2 linked regions of the Ovis aries genome follow. The protein of the gene in region 2 interacts with the protein of the main gene of each other region in a pairwise test. Links are inferred from orthologs where the notes say so. Each region holds a gene or a part of one and is shown on either strand. Other genes may lie near its edges.

Evidence for each region. The genes of interacting proteins can lie anywhere in the genome.
Region 1: the proteins of TEAD4 (region 2) and WWTR1 interact in binary tests that used the Homo sapiens proteins (3 or more experiments, as listed by UniProt). The two-hybrid records come from large-scale screens. The link is inferred for Ovis aries from reciprocal best matches to the Homo sapiens genes TEAD4 and WWTR1.

What each region holds. Positions count from the first base shown.
Region 1 is NC_056054.1:239,358,216-239,364,578, reverse strand, and holds the end of WWTR1 (WW domain-containing transcription regulator protein 1), read right to left. Parts: intron 5,373-6,363; coding exon 5,188-5,372; 3' UTR 1,945-5,187; downstream 1-1,944. UniProt on the Homo sapiens protein: Transcriptional coactivator which acts as a downstream regulatory target in the Hippo signaling pathway that plays a pivotal role in organ size control and tumor suppression by restricting proliferation and promoting apoptosis.
Region 2 is NC_056056.1:212,613,045-212,618,668, reverse strand, and holds part of TEAD4 (transcriptional enhancer factor TEF-3), read left to right. Parts: intron 1-1,173; coding exon 1,174-1,314; intron 1,315-1,675; coding exon 1,676-1,828; intron 1,829-2,638; coding exon 2,639-2,752; 3' UTR 2,753-5,624. UniProt on the Homo sapiens protein: Transcription factor which plays a key role in the Hippo signaling pathway, a pathway involved in organ size control and tumor suppression by restricting proliferation and promoting apoptosis.

The DNA.
Region 1 (6,363 bases), on a different chromosome or scaffold from region 2:
TATATTCATGAACATTTTGTGGGATGTATATGTGGGTGGGGGGGACCAAAAGAGTTAATGTTCATACAAATCAAATTTGACTTTCTTTTTTTTGAGACTGTATGTTTGTAGCCTCAAACTGGCAAAACAAGAAAAACAACAAAAGTTAGGCAATATCCAGCTCTAGCCTGGCAATGGTGAAACAGGCCTTTGCATACATTGTTCTTAGAAGTGTAAAAATTGGCATGGACTTGTTTTCAAAAATATTTGACAGAATCTACCAAGATTTAAGATCACATATCTTTTGATATAGTGATTTCTTTCTGAGGAATTTATCCTCTAGACATACTCATACAAGAACAAACTGTTGGGACTAGTGGTCCAGTGGCTGAGACTTTGCACACCCAATGCAGGGGGCCAGATCCCAAATGCTGCAACTGAAGATCCTGCATGCCACAAGTAAGACCCAGTGCAGCCAAAATAAATAAATATCAAAAGGACAAACTGCTACGTCCAGTACTATTTTAAGGGCAAAAACTGAAAACAACCAACTGATTACCAAGAGGGGACACCCATGCAAAAGGATATTACTTATTGTTAAATATAATAAAATACACATGTACTCGCATGGAAGAGCAATCTTGAGCTTTTGGATATATTTCTTGCTTACTATGTACCCTTATAAAAATTATTTTACCTCTCTAAGCCTCAGTTTCTTCATCTGTAAAATGAGGACAGTATTGAAATAATAGTGTTGATGTGCAGATTAAATTAGATAATTCATATCAAATGTTTTGCAGAGTGTCTGTCACTTAGTAAATGTTCAATATGTATCAGTAATATCATTAGAATTGCTCTTCTTTTGTTAAAAAAATCCAGCTTATAGGGGGAAAAAATCTAACAAACATATTTTTTGAAGTGTGAGACTTGAAAGATAGAGAACTTTCATATTTTTACTTTATACGTGTTGGTACTTATAACACTTTCAACAGAGAGCCTCTGTTAACTTAAAAGTAATGATGAAATACAGTTTTAAAAAAGATCCATGAGGCTTAGACTCTGGACTGTTGCTAAGTTGTTTCCCCCAGGATTTCTTCTTTTGTTGTTCAGCTGAGTGCTTCTGCTTAAAAACACTCTGCTACTAAAAGAGCCCTCACATCATAAAGTGTCACCACAGCAAGAATCAGGGGGCTCAAAAGACAGAGGAAATACACTGTCACAGAGTGAATGATGAGCTGCTTTTGGTTTGACAAGAAGTCACACTGTGCTTAGTCACTCAGTTATGTCTGACACTTTGCGACCCTATGTTCTGTAGCCCTCCAGACTCCTCTGTCCATGGGATTCTCCAAGCAAGAATACTGGAGGGGGTTGCTATGGCCTCCTCCAGGGCATCTTCCCAACCCAGGGACTGAACCAGGTTTCCTGCATTGCGTTCTTTATTGTCTGTGCCACCAGGGAAGCCCAAGAAGCCACAGCATATTGTTAATGACAGAGAAACAAAGAAAAATACTTTAGTCCTGATGCTTCAGTCAGATCTGCAAGGTTGTTGGAAGGGCTGACTTGGGTTCAATTCCTGGGTCAGGAAGATTCCCTGGAAGAGGAAATGGCAACCTACTCCAGTATTCTTGCTTGGAGAATCCCATGGACGGAGGAGCCTGGTGGGATACGGTCCATGGGGTTGCAAAAAGTCAGACACAACTGAAGTGACTTAGCACAAGGACACAAACACACACACACACACAGAGTTTTTAAAGTCTCAGTGAGTTACTTCAAATAAAGTAGAAACCAGAACTCTGGATATTTAGAATATTGAAAACCAGGCATTTGAGCCAAAAAAATGTTTGTCTACAAAATTTTCTTTCCTTCATTGTCTGCCAGGAAGGTTACATAAGCTTTCCTCCAGTACCACCCAAAGCCCTCAGTAAAAAGAACACACACAAATCATGACAAGATAAAGACTCCAAGTGGAAATTCAATTGTATTTATTTTTCTTATACAGAATCAGAGAAGTAAAAACCAGTACCAAACTCCGGGTAAAATAGTTTGATCTGATTGATTTTTCTGCATATTCTCTATATGCATAGCAATTTGAATTAAAAATAAACACACATATATCATATTACAAAATGTAGAAATAATTTTTTTAAAAGTTAAAATACGAACACATAAATGATGTAGTGTGTTAGGGAAACAGTCTCTGTTGATAACCTACTTTCCCAATTAAATTAATCTACAATTTCCTTTTAACAGCTTTTGTTTGTCATAAAAGTTGCACTTCTGGAAGTTGCTTTCTGTTATGAGAACATCACTTGTCATTAGTAAAACTCTCTCACTCCTGATCACCTTCTTCTCCAGAGAGATTTTCTGCCAAGCTGGAGTCAGTAACACCCCCAGCACACTAACTGTTTTACTCTGTTTTTACTTATATTGTATAATCAGCGAAAGAAAGGCATATCACATCCTAAATTCTATGGTGAAACACTAATAATTACTTAGATTTAACAGAATTGCAAATAGGTCTTGACAATGTATTGGCTTCAAGGAAATGTGTTTTATCAGGGAAAGAAAATACCTTAAAAGAAAGATTTCTGAAATTATTTTTCCATTTTTAACCTGGATGAAATGTTGAAATCTACTGATTGACTTAGGACTAAAAAGACACGATATTTGGCAGTCATTTTATAATAAGAAATATAGTATAAATAGCACCTTATCATGAATTCTGCAGGGGTTTTAACACTTACAATAATAGGAAAGAACCTTTAAAAAGTTGTTTCTAGATTTCTAGCTTTAGTGTTCTTTAACAAAGGCCATATAACATGGCCTTAAAAATAACAACAAAAATTAGATCTGGCTTCATTTATTAGTAAACATGTAGTCAGGATCTGTGTCTAATTCTGGAAAAATAATTGTTATGTTCATTAATAAATGTTCCAACTAATCTCACTAAAAAAAAATTCTTCTAGTGTTTTCTAATGCCACAAGCTTACTAGGAAATTATTTCTAAAAATTGATAATACAAATCATCAATGTTTTAACTACTTAAAAAAAGGAGGGATAATTGTTTCTTTAATGTTTAATAACCTGAAAATGAATCTATAAAAATATTTTTAAAAAATACAGTAACACTGCTCCGTTTTACTAGGTCCCTTGTTTTTGAGTCTTTTTTTTTTTTTTTTGCTTTTTCTTAGAAAGAATGTACAATGCTTTTTGCAATTATTGCTAACAGAAGAGAAAAAGAAATAGTGCTCCCTTCAATATAGTAGCAATAGAAACATCTACCCTCATCTCTCAGAACGTTTTGAAAAAGAGATAGAATCAGAGGAAGAGAAACCATGGGTCCTTCAGGGGAAAAAAGTCACTTCTTTGTGTTGGAAGCAACAGTAGGTTTAAGCTCTCATCCGCCTACTCACTTAACATCAGCGTGGACAGGGCAACACGAGCGCTGTGCCTCCTTCTCCCACAGAAAGTGCACCGAAGCCTTCTTTTCTTCTACAACAGTCTTTTGGTACAAAAGTTGTAGGAGAAAATCATTGCTTTGTTCTTTGGGGGCACCTCACACCTCCTTCTCCTTTTGCTTTTGGGGCACCATAGCTTGTCTATTTCCATCTCACACCTAGTAGCCTTTCCACTGTATTCCCTAACGTTACTACTTCATCTCTGACCTTTACACTTGCCTTCATTCCAACAAGATAAGATGTATTCTGCCTGTCTGTCTTTTGGTAGATCAAAAAGGATCTCAGATCCCCAGCAAATAAGCCCCTCTGGGAATGGAAAGGTTCCTCTCAGAGACCTGCATTATTAATGTCTCTCAAAAAAGATATTAAATTCATAGATTATAAATAATGTCAGTTCAAAATATTAAACAATTGAGGACTTCATTGGCAATGCAGGCAGAGTGCATGCCAGGCGAACCCGATGCTCTCTCTCAGTCCTTAAAAGCTAATAAAAAACAAACAAAAAAAAATGGTTTTGGTTACATAAGAGGTACTGAGTACATATTTCATGCCTTTCTATACCAACTGTAGCAAACAGGATTAGGATAATACACCTAGGAATCAACTTTAGTGACTTCAGAAACACTAAGGGTCTCCACCATACACCCTCAGGGGGCATTTTTTGACCCATCAGTCAGAGATCTGCTTCATCCTTCAAACAGCTTCATAGATAAGATTATTTTAAACCCTAGAAATCTTGAAAGAAGAAAAGCCAACAAGGCTTCAGAATTTTAAAAGCAACAGCTCACTGTATGCCATCAGGTTGAAAGCTATGTGGTACTGATGTTTTCAGAACAGTTTCAAAGGACAAAAATATAGTTGCCACTGATTTATCAAAAACATTTGGCTGAAATTTGTCATCAGTCACCAAATGATAGTGCTTCATAAAATAGACATCATATTCTAAGCTGTAATTTTCTTAAAAATCCAACTTGTCATTTAAAAACCGTTTGTTTAATAAATGTTCAAAATTAGTACCAAACTGGTCTCTTTCTCTTTCATGAGATCTTGGTGTAGGAACTGTAACGAATGCCATTGCCACTCTCCTGTTAGAAGGATAGTTGTCTAGATGCTGTGCAGTAAAATGAAGAAGGATACACAATAGGACTCTGTGTGCCTTTGAGAATACAGGTAATAAGAGCCATCAGAACCTGCATGAATTGAAAACTACACTGTATTCCAAACAGCAGAATTTTACTATCAGTACAATGATTTTTAAAGCTCAAGTTAAATATTCTTTAAAGCATTTGGTACTAATGTCATCAATACAGTTTTTGAAACTGTAAATCAGGTCGAGTTTTGTGTACATTTCCTGGACCGAGCCACCTGTCAAAAGTCACTGCCTGTGGTCATCAGTTTTTCATGGTTTATAATCAATTGATGTATAAATTTCAGCTAACACCCATAAAGCTTGGTCATGGGGCAGCAGAGAGGAAAACAAAGAAGCAATTCTGCATAATCAATTCTGCTGCACAACCCATCACAGGAATGCAGGCTTGCAGAAAACAGAAATAGAATGTTTATTCATGTTTAACTTCAGTGACTGCCAATCAAATCCAGGCAATTATTAAACTGGCCACAAGGAAAGGAGGGAGCATGTGTGATGGAGGCAGGAGGTAGCTCACCTGCCACCTTGCTCTGCTCCATCGCTTTTTCCAAGAGGCCCAGGAAATGTCAGGTCACGGCTGCATCCAAGCTACAATGATATTAATTACAGCCAGGTTAGAAAAGGCTCGCTTTTGTTCAGAGCAGATTCTACATCAGTGAAGAGGGGGATCAGATCTTCAGATTCCAAAGTTCCCAGATCAACGTTTGTTCCTGGAAGACAGTCAAGAAAATCAGGGAAACGGGTCTGCTGAGGGTTGATATTCATGGGTGTCTGTCCTGTGTTTTCTCCTGTAATGGAAAAGAATGAAACCATTTTAATTCTTTTATTGTAGTATAATTGCTTTATAATGTTGTGTTGGTCTCTGCTGTACAATGAAGAGAATCAGCTACATGTACATGTTTCTACCTCCTCCTAGACCTCCCTTACTCCCCATCCCACACTTCTAGGTCATCACGGAGCACTGAGCTGAGCTCCCTGTGCTACACAGCAGGTTCCCACTAGCTATCTATTTTACACATGGTCATATACATATGTCAATCCCAGTCTCCAACTCATCCCACCTTCCCCATGCCCCCTTGTCCGCACATCTGGTCTCTATGTCTGTTTCTATTCCTGCAGAGTGAAACAGAAACAGAAAAACAAATATCGTGTATTAACACACATATGTGGAATCTAGAAAAATAGTACAGATGAACCCTATTTCTTTTTTAAGGCTCCTGAAAAGAGGAACCAGTTCAGTTGTCAACATAACTCTCATCTTCACTTCCACTGTGCTCACATTCCACCAGAAGATCTTATTGCTGCAGGTTGCAAATATTTCATCTCCTTGCAAAATTTCAGCTACCACGTTACTGAAACTGAGTTGGTGGTGCTCACACCTAAGAGACACAGAGATGCTGGGCCAATCTTTACTTGTTCTGGGTAGACATGGTCCAGAATGGGTAAGTGCAGGGACACAGGAAAGGAGAAAATGAGGACACTGTGGATCTGACTACCATCACTGACTTCCCATGACAATGGCACGAAGAGCTGGTTTGAGTAGAGAGGCTCTGACAGTCATAAAATCCGTACCACAGAGCTATAATCCAACAATTTAATTGTAAACTCAAGTTTGCTCATATCATCCTCTTTATGTTCAAAGGTAGTTTTAATAACTATGTTATTAAAAAACAATCTTCATTGACAACTCTGGGGATCATGTTCAAAGTATTTTAGAAAGTGGCTTCTGCAGATTGCCCCCCTCACTACACATGTACATATACCCCAAAATTATCGAGT
Region 2 (5,624 bases):
GCAGTGGGGCTGTTGAGGGAGTGGGATCGTAGTTAGGATGTCACGGAGGATGCTTGTGGCTGTCGCTGGCTGAGGTCCCCAGGGGTAGATTCTGGGGCAGACTCTGGACCGTCGCTTGTGGGACTTTTCTTTTTGCATGCCAGATCTTAGTTCCCCGACCAGGGATTGAACCCGGGCCCTCTGCAGTGGAAGCACAGAGTCCTGACCCCTGGACCGCCAGGGAGGTCCCTGTGGAATTGCATCTCTGCTTCATCTCCTTCTCTCTCTCTCAGCTGCCAGCTCACCTGTTCTTGCTGCTCCCCCCCACCCCCCAAGTCACACACACACTCCTTGAGGGCAGAGACTATGTCGCAGCCTCTCCCCTTCTACCCTGACTGTTCTGGGCCAGGCAGGATGCATGGGTGACTGAAAGGCCAGGTGAGTGGGAGGCGATGCCAGGAGACCCGGGAGCGTCTCTGGGCTGGGGTGGGGCTGCGGTTCTGAGGACTGGCAGGTGCAGGAAGCTTAGGTGTCCCCCTTGTGACTATAGGACCACTCCTTGCCCAGAGCCAGCGTGAGGGGGCAGGCTCAGACAGTCACGTGCCACACTGTTGAAGGCACACACCCTGCGCCTGGCCGAGCCCTGGGAGAGCTTGGTTCCTGCCTCCGGGGTTTTCAGAAGGGGCAAGGCCAGGCCCTGCCAACCCGGTGCTGTTCCCATTTTAAAGGGGTTCTGCACGAGGGTGCCAATACCTCTCAGAGCAGTTAGAGGAGGGGCCGAGTGGAAGGGGACCGGTGTTGGGGAGACTGATCTGGAGGCAGAACTGAGATGCAAGTCTAGGGTGGCTGGGCTCACAGGGCCACAGAGATGGCAAGGGGCTGACCCCCCAGAGCCATTGCTGAAAGGCACCGGCAGGGTCTCGTTGTGCTGAAGGCCAGTGTGAGGTCCTGTCTGCTGGGCAGTTGGTACCTGGTGGGCAGCAGGGGCCAGGCTCTTGACACTGTTTCTGTCGCACAGCCTGACTTTACCCCAGGCCTGCGTGTGAATGGGCGGGGCGGCTTTCTGAGGTTCCTCATCCATGTTCTTTCTGAGCACCGCCCCCTCAGTCGTGTCCTGGCCCTGGGGCCTGGGCCGTGACCTCCACCAAGACCCCTCTGAGTCACTACCCGGCCCTCGCCCTTGTCTCCCTCCAGGCAGACCTCAACACTGACATGGAGGACGAGGGCGGCTCCTTCTACGGGGTGTCCAGCCAGTACGAGAGCCCCGAGAACATGGTCATCACCTGCTCCACCAAGGTGTGCTCCTTCGGCAAGCAGGTGGTGGAGAAAGTAGAGGTAGGCCATGCTGCCCACCTGGGCTCTGGCCCCTCACGCGCACACACACACCGCCCCCAGCTTGGGCTTCTCGCCTCTTCCCCTAGATTTGTCTGAATTAGGGCAGTCTCACCCTCACCTCGTCCTTACCACTGACAGCCTGCCTCACGCCCAGCACGAGCCGGGGAGTGGTGGGAGGCCAGGCACCCCCATCCTGGTGGTTCTCACCGGCTGTACATCAGGTCTTGGGGGGCCAACACCCTGGCACTGAGTCCCCCACAGTGTTTAACCCCAGACCTCTCCCACCTGCGGGTGGTGTCTGGGAACCGCCGGGCTGGCGGTGGGCGGCGGCCTCCTAAGCCGCGCGTCCCCGGCCCTGCAGACCGAGTGCGCGCGCTACGAGAACGGCCACTACTCCTACCGCATCCACCGCTCCCCGCTCTGCGAGTACATGGTCAACTTCATCCACAAGCTGAGGCACCTGCCCGAGAAGCACATGATGAACAGTGTGCTGGAGAACTTCACCATCCTGCAGGTGTGGGGGGACAGGCGTGCGTGTGTGCAGATGTGGGAAGGCAGGTGTGTGTGTGGGGGACAGGCGTGCATGTGTGCAGATGTGGGAAGGCAGATGTGTGTGGGGGGGACAGGTGAGTGTGCAGGTGTGGGAAGGCAGGTGTGGGGGGAAGGTGGGTGGTGTGTGCTGGTGTGAAGTCAGGTGTGGGGGGGAGGTGGGTGGAGTGTGCAGGTGTGAAGGCAGGTGTGAGGGGAAGGTGGGTGGTGTGTGCAGGTGTGGGGGAACAGGTGTGTGTGTGGGAGCAGGTGGAAAGGCAGGTGTCTGGGGGGGACAGGTGTGAAGACAAGTGTGGGGAAACAGATGTGTGTGTGTGCAGGTGTGGGAAGGCAGGTGTGTGTGTGTGGGGACAGGTGTGCGATGTGTGTGTGTGTGCAGGTGTGAAGGCAGGTGTGGGGGGAAGGTGGGTGGTATATGCAGGTGTGGGGGGACAGGTGTGTGCGTGTGTGCCAATGTGGGAAGGCACGGGTGTGTGTGGGGGGACAGGTGTGTGGTGTGTGCAGGTGTGGGAAGGCAGGTGTGTGTGTGGGGACAGGTGTGTGGTATGTGCAGGTGTGGGAAGGCAGATGTGTGTGTAGGGACAGGTGTGTGGTGTGTGCAGGTGTGGGGTGACAGGTGTGTGGTGTGTGCAGGTGTGTGGCGACAGGTGTGTGGTGTGTGCAGGTGTGGGGGGACAGGTGTGTGCTGTGTGCAGGTGTGGGAAGGTAGGTGTGTGTGTGTGGGGGGGTGGGTGGTGGGCGGAGCGGACAGCACACTGTCTCCCACACCCCACAGGTGGTCACCAACAGAGACACCCAGGAGACCCTGCTGTGCGTCGCGTACGTCTTCGAGGTGTCAGCGAGCGAGCACGGGGCTCAGCACCACATCTACCGGCTGGTGAAGGAGTAGAGACCAGGGACAGGGAGGGGGTGACATCACGTGTGCAGGGACGAGGGGAGGGGCCCCATGGGGCAGCCCCCGAAGCACCGAGAGTTGAGGTGGTGACTCTTCTACCCAGGAGCAAATTCTGCCTGAACCTGCAATTGCCCAAGCCCAATAAACCCCAGCTCTGTGCGTCTTCAGAGGCCCCGTCTGGCTGCGCGAGCCCCGGGAGGGCTGAGGGAAAAGGGGCCGGATGCCACCCCGGGCGTGGCTGTGAAGCCAGGGCTCCGTGGACTCGGCCAGGACGGTTGCCAGCTGCCGACGCTCAAGATGGCATGTCCCCGAGCTGCCCTGGAGGCCTTGCCCCCGGCTCCGGCCACAGTGGGAGGCCTGGGGACAGGCACGGGTCCCCCACCTGTGTGTCCTGTGCGGGCACCTCGGCCACCGGGAGTGATGTGTCTGCCTCACTTTCCCCACCGCCTCTGCTGCCGCTCCCTCTGAACAGCCGACGGGGAGGCCGGCCCAGCTCGGGGGTGGGTTTCAGGTGTGGAGGTTAGACAGGGGCAATCAGAGCTCTTTAGCTCCAGTGGGCGTGAACTCTCTGGCCCTGCCAGCTGTCTGGGGGGTGGGTTCCAGGTCAGGGGGGGCCCAAGACAGAGAGGGTAGGAGTGCTGGGGCCAGCTTCTGAGTGTGGGTGGGGGCTCTGGGGTTCCTCGGTGTCCTCTTCGGTGGTGAAGGCCAGGAACGTTGGTCTGAGGTCCGCGCTGTTCTGGTGGTCTTTGAGACCATGCAGTTGGTATGCCTTGCCATCTCACAGCAAACGCCTCCCAGCCAAGAAGCCTGCTGGGTGGTGACCACCTCGAGGCAGCCGCGCTGACCACCCCCTCCCCGGACGGAAGGTTCTATGCACCCTGGGGATGGAGGAGAGGGGAGTGGAGCCCACCCTGGGCCTGGGGGGACCCCTCAGCTGAGGGAATTTCCCTGGTCTGTTCCTCCTGGCAACTGGCCTCAGTCCTAGGGCTCCCCGCTGCCTGCCCTGTCTCAGCGTGTGTCCTTTCCTGCCTGTAGAGGGGGACGGCCTTAGTGAGGAGGACATGTCTGTATAGTGCCTGACGCAAGGTGCACTAAAGAGAGAAAAAGTTACCGTCCTCTTACCCCTCCTGGCCCTTGGGATACTGGGAACCGGCTCTTTGCTGCCATCTAGTGGCTGTTTGCTATCATCTTGCCTAATAGGGACCCACACTTCCCGGAGCCTGGAACCCAAGGAGACTAAGAGTCACGTGCAGGAGTTTTGTGTGCTGATCTCAGGGACATGTGTGGGGATATGAAGTGAATAAGATGGTGTTGAGGAGGTGTTGTGTGGTTAGGAGCCAGGGCTCCAGAGTCAGTGGCTAGGATTGGAATCCTGGTGCTCAGCTTTGGACTGTGTGGCCTTGGGGAAGTTACCTAATTTCACTGTGCCTCAGTTTCCCCATCTGTACAATGGGTATAACAATAGTACCTACCTCGTATATGTAGAGTGCCTAGCGTGGTGCCAAGCACACGAGCGCGTGCTGTGAGTATGCATTATTATTAATAGCACTGACTCTTGCAGTCTGAGGAGTCAGCTTGGGAGACTCTTAAGTGGGGGTGGGGTGGTCCTCAGAGCAACTGGAATTCAGAGGTGGGAGGGGGTGGGGCTTGGAAGGTTCAGGGAAGAGGCGGAAATTGAGAGGGGCTGCTTCTTGAAAGAGAGGCATTGCCTAGATGAACAGCCTGAAGGGGCAGTCTGCTGGCAGCTCTGGACAGGGCAGGAGGACCAGCCCTCCAGCTTCCTTCTGGACAGCTGCTAGACCCCGGGCCAAGTCGTATCTCCCTCCTGGGTGCTGGGGCCTGGGTGCGAGGGGTCCCTGAGTCTCTGAGAATTGTCTACCGTCTTTGTGTGGTTTGGGTCTGGGGAGGCTTTCCTGCCCACCCCTGGTCACTGTCATGGCCTTTGCCCTCCCACCTCCCCACCCGTGTTCCCGGAGCTGTCAGGATAAAGGGAGCCCGTGACCTCTGTGCCCGCACAGGACTGAACCTTCGGACAAACACTGGTGTATGAGTAGCCTTGGGCCCTGGGACAGATGCACAAACTGCGTCCATCGTTTTGTGTCCTGGGTCTAGGGAGTCCATGTAGATGTTGGGGCCAGAGCTGGCTTCGAGTGTTCCCTTCTCTTTAGGGCCTGGTCTCAGCAGCCTAATGGACAGTCACCTACTTAGAGCTGGAAAGTCCAGACCGTTCCACCACCGGGAACATAGGTCTAGGCGCCTCTCCCTGAGGCGCAGTGCAGACCGTGACCCTCGGGGCCAACAAATGGGAGGTCCCACCCGGCCCGCTTCTCCTGCGCCATCATCTCACACACATCCCCTCCTAGCCACTCTCTGCCTCTAGTCTTGGCACCTCATGTCCCCTGGCCAGCAGGCCCCTGGAGAACTGTCACTCATTCTTGCATGGAGTGACACTCCCAGCATGGAGCCACTCCTGCAGAAGGGATGCTGGCTCCTGCCTGGCGGGGGAAAGGCATTCCACTCACAACCCATCAGGGCACCTGTCACCCGTCCCTGCGCACTGGGGCTGAGACATCTCTTCCATTCTCAGCCGGGGGTGCTGTGCTCTCCCCATTTTAAAGATGAGGGAGGGGCGTCCAGAGAGGCCAGCTAACTTGCTTGGAGTCTTCTGGAATCTGAATGCATGTATTCACCAGCTTAACACATGTTTATTTAACTTCTGGTTCGTACCAGACACAGGGATGTACAGACGGCTGAGACAGATGGGGTCTCTGGGAAGCTTATGTCTTACTAAGGAGGGAAGACAAACCGAGTGGGTAAAGGGTGGGTAGACTGACGGGGGACCACCAGGAGACGAGAGAGGCCCTGG